Rhinolophus ferrumequinum: one gene and its partner. The protein of the gene in region 2 purifies or fractionates together with the protein of the main gene of each other region. This does not show direct contact. Links are inferred from orthologs where the notes say so. Each region holds a gene or a part of one and is shown on either strand. Other genes may lie near its edges.

Region 1 (8,287 bases), on a different chromosome or scaffold from region 2:
ACCTCAGTTCTAGAAAAATCAGATATTTCTATCATAATGTCCATACATTTTCCAGCTATGGGAGTGTGTGTGTGTGTGTGTGTGTGTGTGTGTGTGTGTGTAAGCTATTCTAGAGGACAGGATAGGAAAGTTGATAAGAAACACTACTTTTTCTCCTATATGGGAGACATAACTGGGGGTGCCAGAAATATGTATACACATGACTTGCATTCATCTTTTGTTATCGGTATATATATTATTACAATTTTAATACAGTTTTTTCCTTTCTTAAAATGTGTACATTTTTTTGGCACCCTCTGTATTTCTATACAAAAAGAAGAGCTGCAAACTGATTATCTTTTGACTTCTTGTGACAGCACATTTAACCAATTAAGAAATAAACTTGTGAACATTAAGACACTTATATTAAAACTGAGAGTAAAACATTAGACTAACATTTGTGTACTGTGAAGTCTCTAAGAAACTTTTCTCCTGATAGTGAAATTTAGAATACTTGATCAAAACCAAAAAAAAGGAAATGAATATTCTAAAAGACTAACCAATAATTAATCTAAGAAAAACATTTTAGGTATCCTATGATCTTTCGAGGTTAAATAACAAAATACAAAACAAAACATCTATTTAAAGACTACAAAACAAATCAGGGGTCAACTTTACATTTTTATAATTTAAGTATTTAAAACAAGCAGCATTCAAGAGATTCCTTAAAAGCCTAACATTTTCTTGCGATTCTTTTTAAAAGAGTTTTATTTATCACCTTTCACTATCTGTTGTCCTGAATTTGCTTCAGGCAAACTCCTTGTGCTAGCAATCACTACGGGGAAAAAAGTACAAGTATTTAATAAAAGAAATGAGAGTGGAGAAAACACAATAAAAATTTTAATACTTAATATTTTAAAGACTTTGACTTCACTGATTTAAGGAATGGGCAGACAAACTACAAAAAGATATTATGCATCAATGTGGAAACTTATGTTTAAGCCCTTGTCAGTTAAAACAAAATACCAAATAAAGACTACACACCTATATAATGCCAAACTAACCACTGAATTCAGTTAATCAGGAAGATACTGATAAGTCTGATAATTCTTGCAACATGTCCAAATTGAGAGGAAGGAAAGAAAAAACCTTTAAGAAGCCTGTTATATGTATTTTCTCTTCCTACCTAAAACAATAATATTAAGGGTTGGGAATTTTCCTCTTCCTCCAAGCCCAGTACAATTGGGTTCCTCCACAACAGTAATAAGTTTAAATTTCTATTTGACAATTTTAATAAAACATATTGATGTAAACCATTATCCAATTGTATCCTGACCTCAAGCGTATAACTGTCTTTCAAAATCACATGTGTAAATCACACTTGAAAGAAATTTGAAAAGATTCAACTTATATAATTACATTATCATTTTTAATCCAAAACTTACTTTCATTCTCAACATCATGTTTTTAGAATCTAGAGTTATGTTATGCTTTAAAATAAACCTCAGCCAAAAAAAAAGCTTGATACACATTACAGACTGTACATTAATGGAACAGATAAAGATATAAAGACGATGATGCTATATTTTTACTGGGCGCCACATTCTAAATTCCAGATTTGTCCTGCAATTTGTCAGTCATTTCAGTTCATCCAGTCAACTTTGTAAACAAAGGCTATAAGCCAAGTTTGATATGAGAATTCAATTAACCAAAACTTAAAGTGATCTTCATTCCCTAAACAGGAAGCAGTAAAAAGAAAAATGCCACTACACACCTCTCTTTTAAAAAGTGAGCAAGGTGATGTGTATAAAATACAGTCTTAAGTTTCAACCTCCCAAACAAATTTTTGTTTAATATTAATCAAAATAAAGCTGCAATCTTCTACATATAACGAATTTGAGATAGTGTACAAGTCTTTTCATTGTAAGGGGAAGCTTTGCTGTAAAGTCGTTTTCTAGTAAATTCCAAGTGCCCACTAAGAAAATGGAAAGTCTATGTCTTGTCACCTATTACCATCACTTAAAAATTGCTTTTTATGCAGAATTCTACGCGGTTGTGTTGCTTTTGGCCTGTTAAAGGCAAAGGAACATTATCTCTGGATTGCCAATAGTTTCTCCTTATTTGGCTAACATTGAGAGATCCCAATCGGACTACTATAAAACTTTAACATGCACAAAGCATCCATTTTGAGAAAAGTTTGTGACCAGCTTTCTTTTTTCCCACCCCCAAAAGAAAAATCAGAGCCTGGTAACCGTCTTTGAAAAGACTGCCCCGTGTTTATTCTTCTCTTTCTAACCCCAGTGCACACCCAGGACCTGGGGCTCAAGGATCTCTGACACTGCGGCAAACTCTTCTCCTACTTTAAGAGACTCTTCACTCCTTCCCGCTCCCGCGGGGGGCAAGCCCTTGTGAACGTTTCCTTACCCCATCCCCTCCCTTTTAGCCGGTGCAGATCAGCTAATTACACCCCATTTTACCCTCCCCAGTGACCAAGAGCAATAAAGAAGAAAACAGGAAATCGTTCGCTCAGGGCACTCGGCTTAGGGCTCTTGATTACTATCATCATCACCATCATCATCATCACCAACATTGTCATTTGTAATCAAGTCCTAAAGACAACAACAAATCCAATGCCCACATATCAGCCAAAGACGTCCATCTGCCCAAGCGTCCCTAATGCCCCTTGTTGGTCGTTTTCTTCAGCATCTCCCGTCCTCCCAGTATATCACTGACATGGGGGCCCAGGCACAACCACCCACCCCACAACCCTCCCGGTTTCGACCCCAAATCCCAGACGCATGTCCACATATGGCCCTGGAGCCCCAAGCCGACCACAGTCCCTTTTCCCCTCTGCCCCGGAAATCAGCCGGTTCCCAACTCCACCACCAAATGGTCTGAAGGGGGCCTCGAGCCCCAGCGCTCTTCCTCCACCAGTTCTCTCCCTCCTTCCCTCCCTCCAACGCGAGCAGCCGCCCCCTCACCCCGCAGTAGGGAGTCTCCTGCCGCCCCCAGCCTCAGGGAGCCCAGAGCAGAGGGGAGGCCCCGGCGCGAGGCCGATGAGGACCCGCACGGGCAGAGAGCAGGCGGCGGGGCGCACAGACCTGGTGCAAGGCAGTGAGTCCGTCCACATTGGCGTAATTGATGTCGGCGCCGCGATGCAGCAGCTTGAGGACCTCGTCCGTGTCGCCGCTGGAACAAGCAGCCAGGAAGACGGCGCCATCGTCGAACTTCACCTTGGTCTTCTGGCGCTTCACCACAGGAGGCTCGAGGTCCGTCTCGGAGCCGATCCAGCGCTTCAGCTGCTCGTTCCGCTTCTGCTTCGCGTCCGCCATCTTCATCCCCTCTCCTGCCGCCGGGTCTTCTTATCACGAGGGGGGGAAGGGGGAGGCGGAGAGGGAAGCGAGGGGAGGCAGGGGGTGTGTGACTGTTTCTATGAGTGCGGGCCGGAGGAGGGCTGGGAACCGGGAGGAGACGCTCGAGACTTCCAGTATCCCACAGAGCACTGGGGCGGCGCGCCCGGCAGAGCGGACCTCCCTTTCTACCACCGAAGCCCTCCCGCCCCCAGCCGGCCACCCGTCACCCGCGGCCAATCTAACGTAACTTCGCGAGATCCGGACAGGGAGGCGCCCTTCGGCCAGTGCGCATGCGTCCTAGGCCTGCGCCCGGCCCAGGAAGAGCGCTGCCGCGAACTGTGGTGGGGGCGGCCGGGCCACCGGAGGGAAGCGGGTGTGGTCCAGTCCGCCCGGGCTGCGGGGCCTGGGACCAACCTGTATGGGCGGAGACAGGGAAGGGAGGTTGTCCTTCCCCGCTGAGGGTTCCTGAGGTTCCGGAGGCCAACAGTCGGGCTGTGAGGCGGCTCTCTCCGGGGCAGTCCCGTCTCCGGGGTAGTCTCAGCTCTGCCGAGCCGTTTGCTCAGGGAGGATTTTCCTATTGGCTGCGTTATTTGAATAGAATGGAGGATAGGTTGTGAATTAGGCGTTTGTGATTTCTCTAAGGAACTCGGACGAACGCTCTTTTAAAAGTGGGGTTTGTGTACCCGAAGGGCTTTGGTGCTAGCCAGATCTGGGCCGATGTGGCCGCCTGGTGACAAGGGTTGACCTGCGGTAATTGTGATTTCCTCCCAACCTCCACTGTAGAAACGTCTTTCCTCTTACGCTTGTTTTGTTGTTGTTGTTGTGGCTTTGTTTAGTTTTTTTCTCTACGCGTGTTTTGGGTCCTCTTCCCTTTCCTTCAGCACTTGAAGCCTGTCGGGTACTACCCATTAGCTTAGTTCAGCGTTGTTAGTGGTTCTGACCTTTTAAGGGATTTCTGGTTCCTGCTTCATCGCTTTCTAAGGATGAGTAAAGACCCAGCAGCTTCTAGAGTTCAAAAGGAATGTTAATATTACGCAATTAATTCAACCGGTGTTGAATACATACTGTGAGCCAGTCATTGTTCTAGCTAGGCACTGTTGATAGGATGAGAACAATGACATAGTTAAACCACCTTTGAGGTCACGTGTTCAAAAAACGTTGTAATTTATAGTAATAAAAAAGGCTTTAATTTTGTCTCGATGACACGACGCTTCCCCCCCACACACACGATTAGTAACAAATACTAATGTCTTTTGAGCCATCTATTTGTAATCACCAACTGATATTCTAAACGTTCCACCATTTTCATCCACTATTTTTCAGTAATAAATACAAGGGTACCATTGAATGGAACTTGAGGGATCACCTAGACTGAGTCCCCAAAGAATTAATTTTTTACTCAGCAGCAGGATTAGGAGTCCTTCAACAAATATTATATGCACCTGTAATGGGTCAAGCATTGTTCTAAATGCTGCAGATACAGCAATGAACAATTAAGCTTTTTCTTATTCTTCAGTAGACTACATTGCAAGCTATCATGTTAAGAAATAAAATGACAGTAGACTAGGAAACCACTTGCCTGTAAGACTGAATTTTCTGAACTGCAATTACTAGGATAGTAATAGAACCTAAGTTAGGGTAAAAATATTTCCTCTGAAAATGTAGAAATAGAAAGTGTGACGTGCGTAAAATGCACCAATGGTAATATCAGACCTTTGAATAATGATGGTGTTAGGTGGTGGTGAATTCTGTCAGCACTAAAATACGAAATTCCTATTCATTTAAAAAAAACTCCAGAATACAGCTCTTAGCATAAAAGATGGGACTTGGAGGATTGCCTCATCAGCTCCTCCATTACCTAGAAAAACTGACAGCTCATCCTTACTCTTTCCCAAGAATGTTGTGGTTTACTTGGTAGTTCTTAAAAGGGCCCTGGAATATAGATTGGTATGTCAAGTTTTCATTTGAGCAAGAGATTGGTGGGAAGTGTGCTATTTCAGATTCAAGCACTTCAGGATGTAAAATTAATAAAACAAAACAGTTTTTAAATAAAACATAAACAAGTATCAGTTCCCAAAGGCTACGAGTCAAAACGTTTATCAAACAAAACAAAAACCCACCTGGGCTATTAATGTATGCAAGTTTCACTGAGTTTAGCTTTCCTTCCCCAGCTCTAAGGGTCTATGTTCATCTTAATGGCCAGCTGCTTGGGTTTCTTAAGGGAGGATTGTAAAAAAAAAGTTATTATTAAATTAATGATACTAAAGACCTATGCCTAATTCCTGAGCAGGCAAAACTTTTTATTTAAAAAACACCACCACATTATCTTAATAGCCTAGTGAACTTAAAAATTGAAGCAGAAGAAGAAATTGAGAAATGCAAATATTTTCATTTCCTAATGGTCTCTAAGTAGATTGGGGTGTGAGGACACTTTTCAGCACCTTTCAGGCAAATTAATCCTTAAAATAGAAGTGCAAATTAAACTGTATTAATTTGCTAATTGTTTTTCTTTGTTGCAGCACATCATTAATCATGTTGGGGTATTTACTTATTACAGCCAGAAGGTTGTCAGAAGAGGATCTGCCCGTATCTTTTTCAAAGCGTAATTATACTATGGATATCCCCTACTAACCATTAAGTTACTTGTTAATTATGATCAATTTGAAGACTTTTTAATTAAATCATAACTTTATTTTAAATGCTCACACCTACAAAGCTTAAATTTTTTTTCTGTGCTCTCTGTCTGATGTACCATCACCTAAAGTGTCCATCATAATATGGCAGTATACTTACAGTCAAGTTTATTATTAGCTAAACAACTAGAGAATATAATACAAAATCTTGTGTGTGGATGGCCTTAGCTTAGTACCAACCTATGCAATGTGGAGATTTATTTATTTGTTTGTTTATTATTGAACCTAAACTTGAAAATACCTGATTTGATTATGTAGCAATATGTGAACACAGGATAAGAAAAGGAAAAATTTTAAGTCAACCAAGTAAAAAAATAATAATTTCACAGTTAGTCCTTTGTCTAGTACAAGATTAGTTATTTGTCATTTGGTAAAAACCTTTTTTACTTGTAAAAAGAAGTTAGTCTCTGTTATGTTATAAAGAAAATAGTTAAGAGCTCCTGAGATCTAAGTTGTTTCTTTGCTTGTTTGATTGATAGCTCATTGCTTTGCTGACTGTTACAATCTTTATAAAATAATAATAAAGGTATATGTCATTAATACAAAATAATATGCCAAATTTTTTTATAAACCAACTTTCTGTTCAGTACATCTTTTTTTTCCCATTAACTTTTTTTTTTCCCATTAACTTTTATTATACAGTTGGAAATGTATTTAGGTACAAAGTGTACATAAAATATTGATAAGTGCTTTTAAGTCATATATTTAAGTTCTCCTCATCCCTAATTCAAACCTTCTAATTTACATTTAAGACTGGAGAATAGAATAGTCAACAAGGCATTGGTCTTATCTCCTGTACTCTACTACATCTGGGCTAGGCTCTCTTACATTGTACAATGATTTCTTTCCAATGTTTTTTAGGAAACTGAAGAAAAATTTTTAATCTGCTAGCATTCTAAGATACTCAGTCCCACCCAAGTTGTTGACTGGAACCAACACTGAACCACCCTAAAATTGCTTCAGACTCTACTTTTAGACCAATCCTGATTTCTGGATCATAGCATTTAACTCCTTGCCTTGCCCCTGGGTTACAAAGTCAGCCTCACTCCCCAGACCTAGTGGTTCCTTCCACAACTCTGAAATTCAGCTGGTTTTTGACTCTCCAGGGGAAATTCTCTGCCACATCTGGCTTCATCCCAAGAACTTAACTCTAGCAGTTGCTTGTGGCTGATATTCCCATGAAGCTCCCTGGTCCCCACAAACAGGGAATCAGATAAATATCTGGCAACAATCCCTAGTACAAGCATGGTGCTAAAGAGACGATAACTTGCCTCTAATGCACATGACTTTCAACCTGTGTTATTCAGTGTCAGAACATCATGTGGCCATCCATATGAATCCCTCAATTTAGTGTTTCCCAAGCTGTCACAATTTTTGCCTGATCTAGGGAACACAAATATTATTAATTAACAAATGCTATTATCAATTAATAAATATTATTAACCTTTTAAAAAACTTAAATAAATTTTTAAAAATAGGTTTATTTTAAAAGGAAACATTATGTCTTTCATAAAAAGAAAACATTTCCAATTGACATAAATAAAAGAAGGACCTTGAAAACAGATGTAATGAAAACAAAACAGTGTTATTCTGGTTAGATACACTATCAAGGATCTGAGCCCAAGGCCGGCTCTCAGTTTGTTAAAAAAAAGGAAGATTGGTAAGGGTTGGACGCATTAGCTTCAACCTGATATTTTTCTGCTTAATATAATCAGGAAGATTAAAGGGTACTGAAAAAAGAATAGCTGTTTTGCTGAGTGGCTTCACTGGTATTTTAATATCCCATCTGTCTAAAATTACCTCATGTACCACCAGTCTACATGTCCCACACTTTGAAAAACACTGGCTGACTTTAATTACCACGTATAATAATTATTATAATTAATGTAGTGAAGGTTACAAGAAAGACCTTTGTGACACACCCACCTTGGCGGATCAAGGCAGGCCATTGGAAGGCCCATTTATATGAAAGTATCTATGAGCTCTGAGAGAAAACATGAAGGAAACTTTACAACTAAGAGGCATCTGCCATAGCACTGAAATTGTAAGAAAAACTAAAAGCTACTCCAACATCTACAAGGAGAATTTTGGTGTATGAACTCCATCTCGGAACACTAGCTTTAGTCGAGGGATTCATTCAAATGTCATTCAACTCAAATCCTAGGAAAAGCTTCTAAATTCTTCCAGAGACCAGAGTGCAAAAACAGAGTAGGATACAACTGAGAATAAATACATGCAGTGGTCACAGACACAGCATCGCTG
Region 2 (7,554 bases):
GTTGCCCAGGATCCGGCTGCCAGCCCTGAGGCCAAGCAAGGCTGGAGACCCACAACCTGGCCCTGCTTTGCCCTGAGCTGCAGCCTCAGCCCCAGGATCCTGCTTGCAGCCACCGAGGCACAGGCAGGGGGAGCCCTGGGGGATTGGACGCTGCTACTGATTCATTAAAAAAAAAAGAAAAATACACCAAGGCTCCGTGTTCCCTTGATGGGTAGGCCCAGGGGCCAGTGTGACCCCCACGGCTGTGAGATTGCTGCACAGTCCACCCTCGGGGGCAGACAGCGGGCACCCACAGGCTATTTCTTGGCTTTGGCGGAGTTGCGGGGTGGGGTGATGGGCCGGCCGCCAGGGTTCAGGCCACTGAACTGCCCATATTTCCCCTTGTTCTTGTCGGCGGGCTTGAGGATCTAAGAGAGAGAACTGGTCAGGCTCACGGGGCTGAGCCATGGGCCACCAGCCCCTTCCTTCCCCACCCCTACCTGGAAGGAGCACATGAGCGTCTCGTCCACACTCATCATGGCGCCTGCATTGTCAAACTCGCCACAGTAGTTGGGAGCTGAGAAGAGTGTCACCAGCTGCCGCTTGGCAAAGAACTCATAGCCATCTTCTACGACCTGGATGAGGACGGGGCAGTTAGTTCAGCAGGTGCTGGCTGCCCAGGCCCCACTCCCACCCAGACCAGAGCTCCCAGCCCACCTGGTGTGCCCGGCAGATGAGGTCCAAGTCGTGCTTGTGCAGGAACTTGGCCACCACCTCAGCCCCGAAGGTAAAGGAGACACCACGGTCGTTCTCGCCCCAGCCCTGCACATCCTTGTCAGGGTCAGACCACAGCAGGTCACATAACAGCCCCTGGTCAGGCACATCTGTGGGCCGCATGATACGCCTAATCTGCTCCATAGACTGCAGATCCGGGGAGAGACCTGAGGGACACGGGGCAGGTCACTTCCTCAAACAAGCCTCAAAACAAGGGCCACCCTCCTCCAGAAAGTCTTGACCAATTAGCTTCTGCCTCCCCCCACTACCACCTGGCCCTCTCCTGGACTCCTGGAAGCCCAGGTCGGCAGAACTCACCGCCTTAGCCTGTTTAAGTCCCTGCCCTCTAGGAGCGCAGAGCTCCCTAGAGAAAGGAAACTTCTAAGTTCCACGCACAATGCTGAGGCCACAACAGCAGAGAGTACAGCCTAACACTGGCGAGGGGGGACATCCAAGCCCAGACCCCAGGGAAAGCTGTTCCAGGTGACTGGGAACACGTCCTCCAGCAAACAGCCTCATCCCGAGGTCCCCAGGGATGTGGCTGGGCTTTTCCCAGAGCCGTCCTCACCTCCATGGCAGCAAAAGATCTTCTCGTCCACAATGGCCGCGATGGGCAGGCAGTTGAAGCAGTCGGTGAAGGTTTTCCAGAGTTTAATGTTGTAGCGTCTCTTGCCTGCCCAGAGGAAGGAGATGGCTTGTGAGGCGGCCTGTCCATCCAACCCACAACAGGGTTGTGGGCCCCCCAAGGCCTCCCAGACACAGCTGGGAGAGGAGCGTGAAACGCAAGGGAAACCCACTGCCTACCAGCTTTCCAGGAGGAACCCCCGAGTTCCAATCCGGAACGTCAGGGTTGGCACCCACCTCCACCCTGTGAGCGGGGCCAGGCCAAGACCAGATCTGGTTAATCTCAGCTTCTGGCCAGCAGAGTCCAGGCCACATAGGCATCCTAAGTGCTTAAGTAACGGATGTGCGAGAGGGAATGTTACCAGACAGGACCCTGTATTACACTGTGGTCGGCCCTTCCTGAGGGCCAGGCCCCATGGCAGCAGAGCAGGAGGGCAGTCGGGCAGGGCCCTGCCTTCCCCACACTCACAGTCTAGCAGGTTATCTGTCAGATGCCGATACTCCTACCACCAAGTCAACGCAAGGGTCCCACCAAACAGTGGGGAGAGAACTTCAGGCCTCTGGCAGCCCCAGGCACGCAGCCCACTCACACTCATCATAGAAGCCGTAGATGCGGTTGATGCTGGCACACTCGTGGTTCCCACGGAGCAGGAAGAAGTTTTCGGGGTACTTGATCTTATAGGCCAGCAGCAGGCAGATGGTCTCCAGCGACTGCTTGCCCCGGTCCACGTAGTCCCCCAGGAAGAGGTAGTTGCTCTCTGGAGGGAAGCCACCATACTCAAACAGCCTTAGAAGATCATAGTACTGGCCATGGATGTCACCTGTGACCCAGGGAAGCAGGTCAGCACTAGGTGCGGGATCTAGACTTGAACCCAGGGCCAGGGTGGGCTCAAGAGAAGAGGGATCCAGGGGTTGGGCGGAGGGGGGGGCGAGGACACCTTCAGGAAGCAAAAGGGCCTGGGCAGGGGTCTCACCGCAGATTTTGAGGGGTGCCTCCAGCTCCAAAAGAATGGGCTGGCTCAGGAAAATCTCCCGGGATTTGAGGCACAGACCACGGATCTCATTCTCTGTCAACTGTACATTCTTGCCAGGCCGCGAACCCTGCACTGGAGGCGGAATGGAGCGTCAGGACCCTGGTTCCTCAGACAGGAGGGTGGGCGGCACAGGTGCCCCATGGGCACTTCTAGCGGCGCCTGGGCCTCCTGGGCCCCTCCTTGCCCCGGGAAGCTGTTGCTGCTTAGCCTGCCAGGACGGGACCCCAACTACCCTTAAGGTGCTCGAGGGGATTGCTGTGCGCAAGGGCCGAAACCCCCCAACGCAGGACCCCTTTCCGGGGGTGGGGGGGACAGGCTTCTTAGATTTTTCCCTCACCCCAAGAGCCCAGGCCAACTGGTGCGTCCCCGGTCCAGAGGAGGGGGCTGCTCCCCGTGCCCGAAGGGCCCCAGACGCCCCCAAGGTGCGCCGCCAGTGGGGGGGCGGCTGCGGCCGCGGAACCTCGCGGCCCGTCCCCGCCCAGTCTAAGCTAGCCCTGGGAGGGGCAGGCCCGCCCGCGCGCAACTTCCGGGCCGAGCCGGGCCGGGGGTTAGGGCGAGGCGGACGCTGACCTCCCACACCCCAGCCAACCTTCCAGTAGGCGCCCGATGATAGAGTCCAGATTGAGCTTCTCGCTGTCGGACATGGCGGCTCTGCCGCTCCGGCCCAGCAGCTCCGGGCCAGCTCCTGCCTCCCGCCCTCCGATGCCTCCTTCCGGCCTGTCGCTCCTTCCGCCCGCCCCGGCCCGCCTCCTCGGCCGCCCGCCCCGCCCCGGCCCGCCCCACCCCGCTGGCTTCCCTTGCCTGCTGCCCCAGCTCTCTAGCGCCTCCGCTGGACGCCATGCGGGAGGCGGGGGCTCGGTGACGGGGCGGTACTTTATGTGCCTGGGGCGGGGCCTGGTCGGTGGGCGTGGTTTTGTGGGGTGAGGTTGAGTCTGGTTCCGCCCCTGAGAATTACTCAGCCTCTTTCTGAGAATATAGGACCGGAAATACTGTGGAAGTTGTTTTTCTCTTTCACAGGCGGAACAGCCGAACTTCCCACCTGGCGTGAGCACGTTAATCATAGATTCCCCAAACACTGTGGATTAAGTCCTCAAAGGACAGAAAAGGAAACTGAGGCTCAGAGATAACAAGGGGCTGGTCCAATACCTGGCCTCACATTCACAGAGGACCTCTACCTCCTGCGTCTTTGTGGCCCCCGAGGTGGCTGACCAAACCCAGGCAGCTTCCATAGAACTCCGAGCCCATTTTAGTTCATACTGCCTGTGGTGCAATCTAAATTAATTTTTTAAAATCCCATCCTTGCCTGCCTTTGAGTAGCACAAACTGCATTGTGAGCATGTTAAAAGTATTACTTTCTAAAGAGCAAACATTAAATAAACCATAATTCTCATTGAAACCCTGAATTGAGTGTTTTATATGCCAGTATCCTCCACAGGAGGCAGCCTGGCCTCTACCTCCAGCAGTCCCTGGTCCCATCAAGCCCGGCACAAGAACCCAGGGTACAGGGTTGGGTTGGTGGGAGGAGCCCATAGCCCAGGGGCACTGGGGCAGGCCGGAAAAGCCTCAGAGAGGAAGGGGTAACCCCCCCACACACACTGGGGAGGGGCCCCCCAGTGGGTAGCTGAAGCTGTGTCTGAGGAGGAAGTGAGAGGAGGAGGTGAGGTGCTTCTGGGAGGTAAGCTGGGGTGCTGGGCCAGGGGCTGGGTCTCTGAACAGAGGCCTGGCCTTTCTGCCACTTCAGGGTCTAACCCCCTCCCACCAATAGAAGTGGGGACACAAGGGGCTTGTTGAGATACCCTGAAACCTCCTCCCTTCAACCCCACAGCCAGGACCTGAGGCTGAGGACCGGTTGGATGGGAGGCCAGGCCAGGAGCTGCCTCTCTCACTGGTTCTCCCATCTTGCAGCCTCTTTGTTGCATCAGGGGTCTGGGGCACCATGGCCCAGGCCCTGGGTGAGGACCTGGTGCAGGCTTGTGAGCTGCAGGATGATTCCAGTTCTTTGGGGTCTGACTCAGAGCTGAGTGGGCCCGGCCCATATCGCCGGGCCGACCGGTATGGCTTCATTGGAGGCAGCGCAGCAGAGCCAGGGTAAGTGGGGAAGGAATGGGGGTGGGGGAGGTCCTGGATTGAAGATAGGGGCTGAGAGCTGAATTCTAGAATGAGGCCCAACCTCAAGGGTCCTGGGCGGGTCTGGGGACTTAGCAAGTGTCACCCCTCCTAAGGCTGGCAGGACTGGGCCGGGGTGTCCTTGTCTCTTTACCCCCAAACCCCAAGGGTTTGGACCCACCTTGGGAACTGAACATCCTTTCCCTTTTAACCTCTGGCCCAGGAATCCCAAATCCAAATCACAGAACCCACACTTCTTTCTCCACCCTCCCCCTTTCCCAATATACAGACAGGATAAAAAGTCCAGAGACACGAAGGAACTTGCCTGAGGTCACACAGCAGATCAGAGACTGAACCAGTCTCAAACTCAGTACTCCTGGCTTCTAGTACAGGGCTCAGTCCACACAGCTTCCCCTGTGAGTTGTCTGTGTCCCTATCCTGGGGGACAGCCAACCAGCCCCTCCCCCAATGCACACCTACACACCCCTTTCAGTCTTTCCTGCTTCCACCCACATTGGAGCCACATCCTTTCCTGTCCCCATGACAACCACTGGCAACTCTTGGGTGACAGGTCACCCCCCAGGGGCTCACTTAGGTTGCATGAGGGTGGCAGATGTGGGCTGTAGGTAACAGCTGCCTGGCGCCTGGATGTCTATGCCATGTGCTCCCAGGCCTGGTCACCCTTCTGCAGACCTTATCCGTCAACGTGAGATGAAGTGGGTGGAGATGACTTCACACTGGGAGAAAACCATGTCTCGGCGGTACAAGAAGGTGAGGGGAGAATGGCCCCACCCAGGCCGTCTTGGCTTATTCTCCTTTGCCTCAGCCCAGGCCCTGGCAAAATTTAGTCCCCTCCTGTGTCCTGTCTTTTCTCCCTACCACCCAAAGTGGCCCTTGCCTGATGCTAAGTTGTGTTTGGGGCCTGCCAGCAGGAGCAGGGGAGGCTGGCCCTGCTGGCCTAATGGGGTCCCTTGGCCTCCGCACAGGTAAAGATGCAGTGCCGGAAAGGCATCCCCTCAGCCCTGCGTGCCCGGTGCTGGCCTCTGCTGTGTGGGGCCCATGTGTGTCAAAAGAACAGCCCTGGTATCTATCAGGTATAAGAGTTGGCAGGGGTTCCCCCCTTTCCAGAGCCCCTCGCCACTTTGAGCCCTCCCACCTACCTTCCTGCCTACCCACAGGAACTGGCTGAGACTCCGGGAGATCCACAGTGGATGGAGACCATCGGCAGGGACCTGCACCGCCAGTTCCCTCTGCACGAGATGTTTGTGTCTCCCCAAGGTCACGGGTACGAGGCCAGTGATGCCCAGGGACCCCCAGCCTCACAACCCCAGGCATTTTGGCCCAGCCCCTCCCCACCCCAGCTTTATGTCTTTGCATCTCAGGGGAGCCAGCAAGGCTGGGGGTGGTGAGGCTTGGGCAAAGGCTGCAGAGAGGGGAAAGGGATGCCAGGAGGACTGATCCCTAATGGGGTCTTCTGGCACAGGCAGCAGGGGCTCCTGCAGGTACTCAAGGCCTACACCCTGTATCGGCCTGAACAGGGCTACTGCCAGGCACAGGGTCCTGTGGCTGCCGTGCTACTCATGCATCTGCCCCCAGAGGTGAGTGCCCTTAACCCTGTGCTAGGGGCCCGAAACCCTGACCCCCAACCCCAGTGACCCGTGACTCCCAACCCCAGGGACTCTGATGTCAGGAACCTGGGATCCTTGACCCCAGATCCTGTCCTAGTGACCCAGGGCTTCATGACTGCCAGCCTCAGTGACCTTAAAGCCCAATGACCTGGACTGCAGGAACCTGGGACCTTTGCCCCTTGCCCCTTGCCCCAGTGAATAGGAGTCTGCATGTTATCACCTTGACCTCCTGACTCCTGATTCTGAACCCTGTCACCATGATCCCTAAACCAATGACCCCAAGAACCCAGGACTTGAGCTTTGGGATCCTCCCAACCTTTGACCAGTGAGCCTCGATTCTGTGACCCTCAAATTCAACACCCTGAGCCCTGTGACCCATGAGCAGGGGAGGCTTTTGGTAAGAGCGCCCCCAGGTCTGAGTCCCGGCACCTAGATCCACAGTCACTGCAGATGGTATCCAGGCCCTCCCCTGCACCCTTTCCCCCTGCCCTGCGGTTCCCCTTGTGGCCCCTCCATGGTGGGCACTCATGGCCTGTGCTCCACCTCCAGGAGGCCTTCTGGTGCCTGGTGCAGATCTGTGAGCTTTACCTGCCAGGCTACTACGGGCCCCACATGGTAAGAGTCTGGGATGAGGCCAGAGGGCACAGGGGGAGGGGCTGGGTGGATGGGTGGGTGGAGGCCTGGGGACTGAGCGGGGCAGAGCCTGCTGGGCTTTGGGAGTGGAGGTGCTGACGGACATGGCCGCAGGAGGCTGTGCAGCTGGATGCTGAGGTGTTCATGGCCCTGCTGCGGCGGCTGCTCCCGCGTGTGCACAAACACCTGCAGCAGGTGGGCGTCGGGCCCCTGCTCTACCTGCCCGAGTGGTTCCTGTGCCTCTTCGCCCGCTCCCTGCCCTTCCCCACAGTGCTGCGCGTCTGGGACGCCTTTCTCAGTGAGGGTAAGTGGGCAGCCTCCAGCGGGCAGGGGGGCTGGGCTGGAACTCTGGGGTGTTTGGTGTGCACAGGGAATGAGCCCGACAGCTCTGCTCTGCCCTGCCCGCCACTGCCAATCCTGGCCCTGGGTCTAGGTGCCCGGCTGTGCTGAGGGTGATGCCATCCTGCCAGCTCTGGGGAAACAGCCCAGCCCCAGGCCACACACCACCAGCGTAATGAATGGTAGCCCGTCCCCTGTGATACCACCATAGGCAGGGCAGCCTCTGCCTGGGGCCAGAGAACCTTCCCGAGGTAGATGGGGCAGGAGTTGGGGAGGTGACCACAGTGAAGTGGCTCAGGGACTGGCACAGTGGGGACACAGCCAGTGGTTAGAGGCGCTCATCCCACAGTCCACAGGCACTTGGTGAATTCTCACTGGTGCCAAGCGCTGCTCTGGACACTGGGCCCACCTGAGTGTGTGGACCTGCATTCTGGTGG

The links. Proteins that work in one complex are often made in the same cells at the same time.
Region 1: the proteins of PPP1CA (region 2) and PPP1R12A purify together in Homo sapiens (affinity purification with mass spectrometry; 3 studies listed by BioGRID and IntAct, with this or other methods). This does not show direct contact. The link is inferred for Rhinolophus ferrumequinum from reciprocal best matches to the Homo sapiens genes PPP1CA and PPP1R12A.

Annotation. Positions count from the first base shown.
Region 1 is NC_046293.1:73,597,843-73,606,129, forward strand, and holds the start of PPP1R12A (protein phosphatase 1 regulatory subunit 12A), read right to left. Parts: upstream 3,517-8,287; 5' UTR 3,318-3,516; coding exon 3,081-3,317; intron 1-3,080. UniProt on the Homo sapiens protein: Key regulator of protein phosphatase 1C (PPP1C). Mediates binding to myosin. As part of the PPP1C complex, involved in dephosphorylation of PLK1. Capable of inhibiting HIF1AN-dependent suppression of HIF1A activity.
Region 2 is NC_046294.1:4,830,275-4,837,828, reverse strand, and holds the start of PPP1CA (serine/threonine-protein phosphatase PP1-alpha catalytic subunit), read right to left. Parts: upstream 3,146-7,554; 5' UTR 3,056-3,145; coding exon 3,001-3,055; intron 2,484-3,000; coding exon 2,352-2,483; intron 2,199-2,351; coding exon 1,968-2,198; intron 1,427-1,967; coding exon 1,322-1,426; intron 921-1,321; coding exon 697-920; intron 615-696; coding exon 480-614; intron 408-479; coding exon 297-407; 3' UTR 1-296. Other genes in the region: TBC1D10C (carabin), read left to right, coding at 4,348-4,499, 5,189-5,288, 5,504-5,611, 5,696-5,802, 6,001-6,115, 6,695-6,760, 6,893-7,082. UniProt on the Homo sapiens protein: Protein phosphatase that associates with over 200 regulatory proteins to form highly specific holoenzymes which dephosphorylate hundreds of biological targets.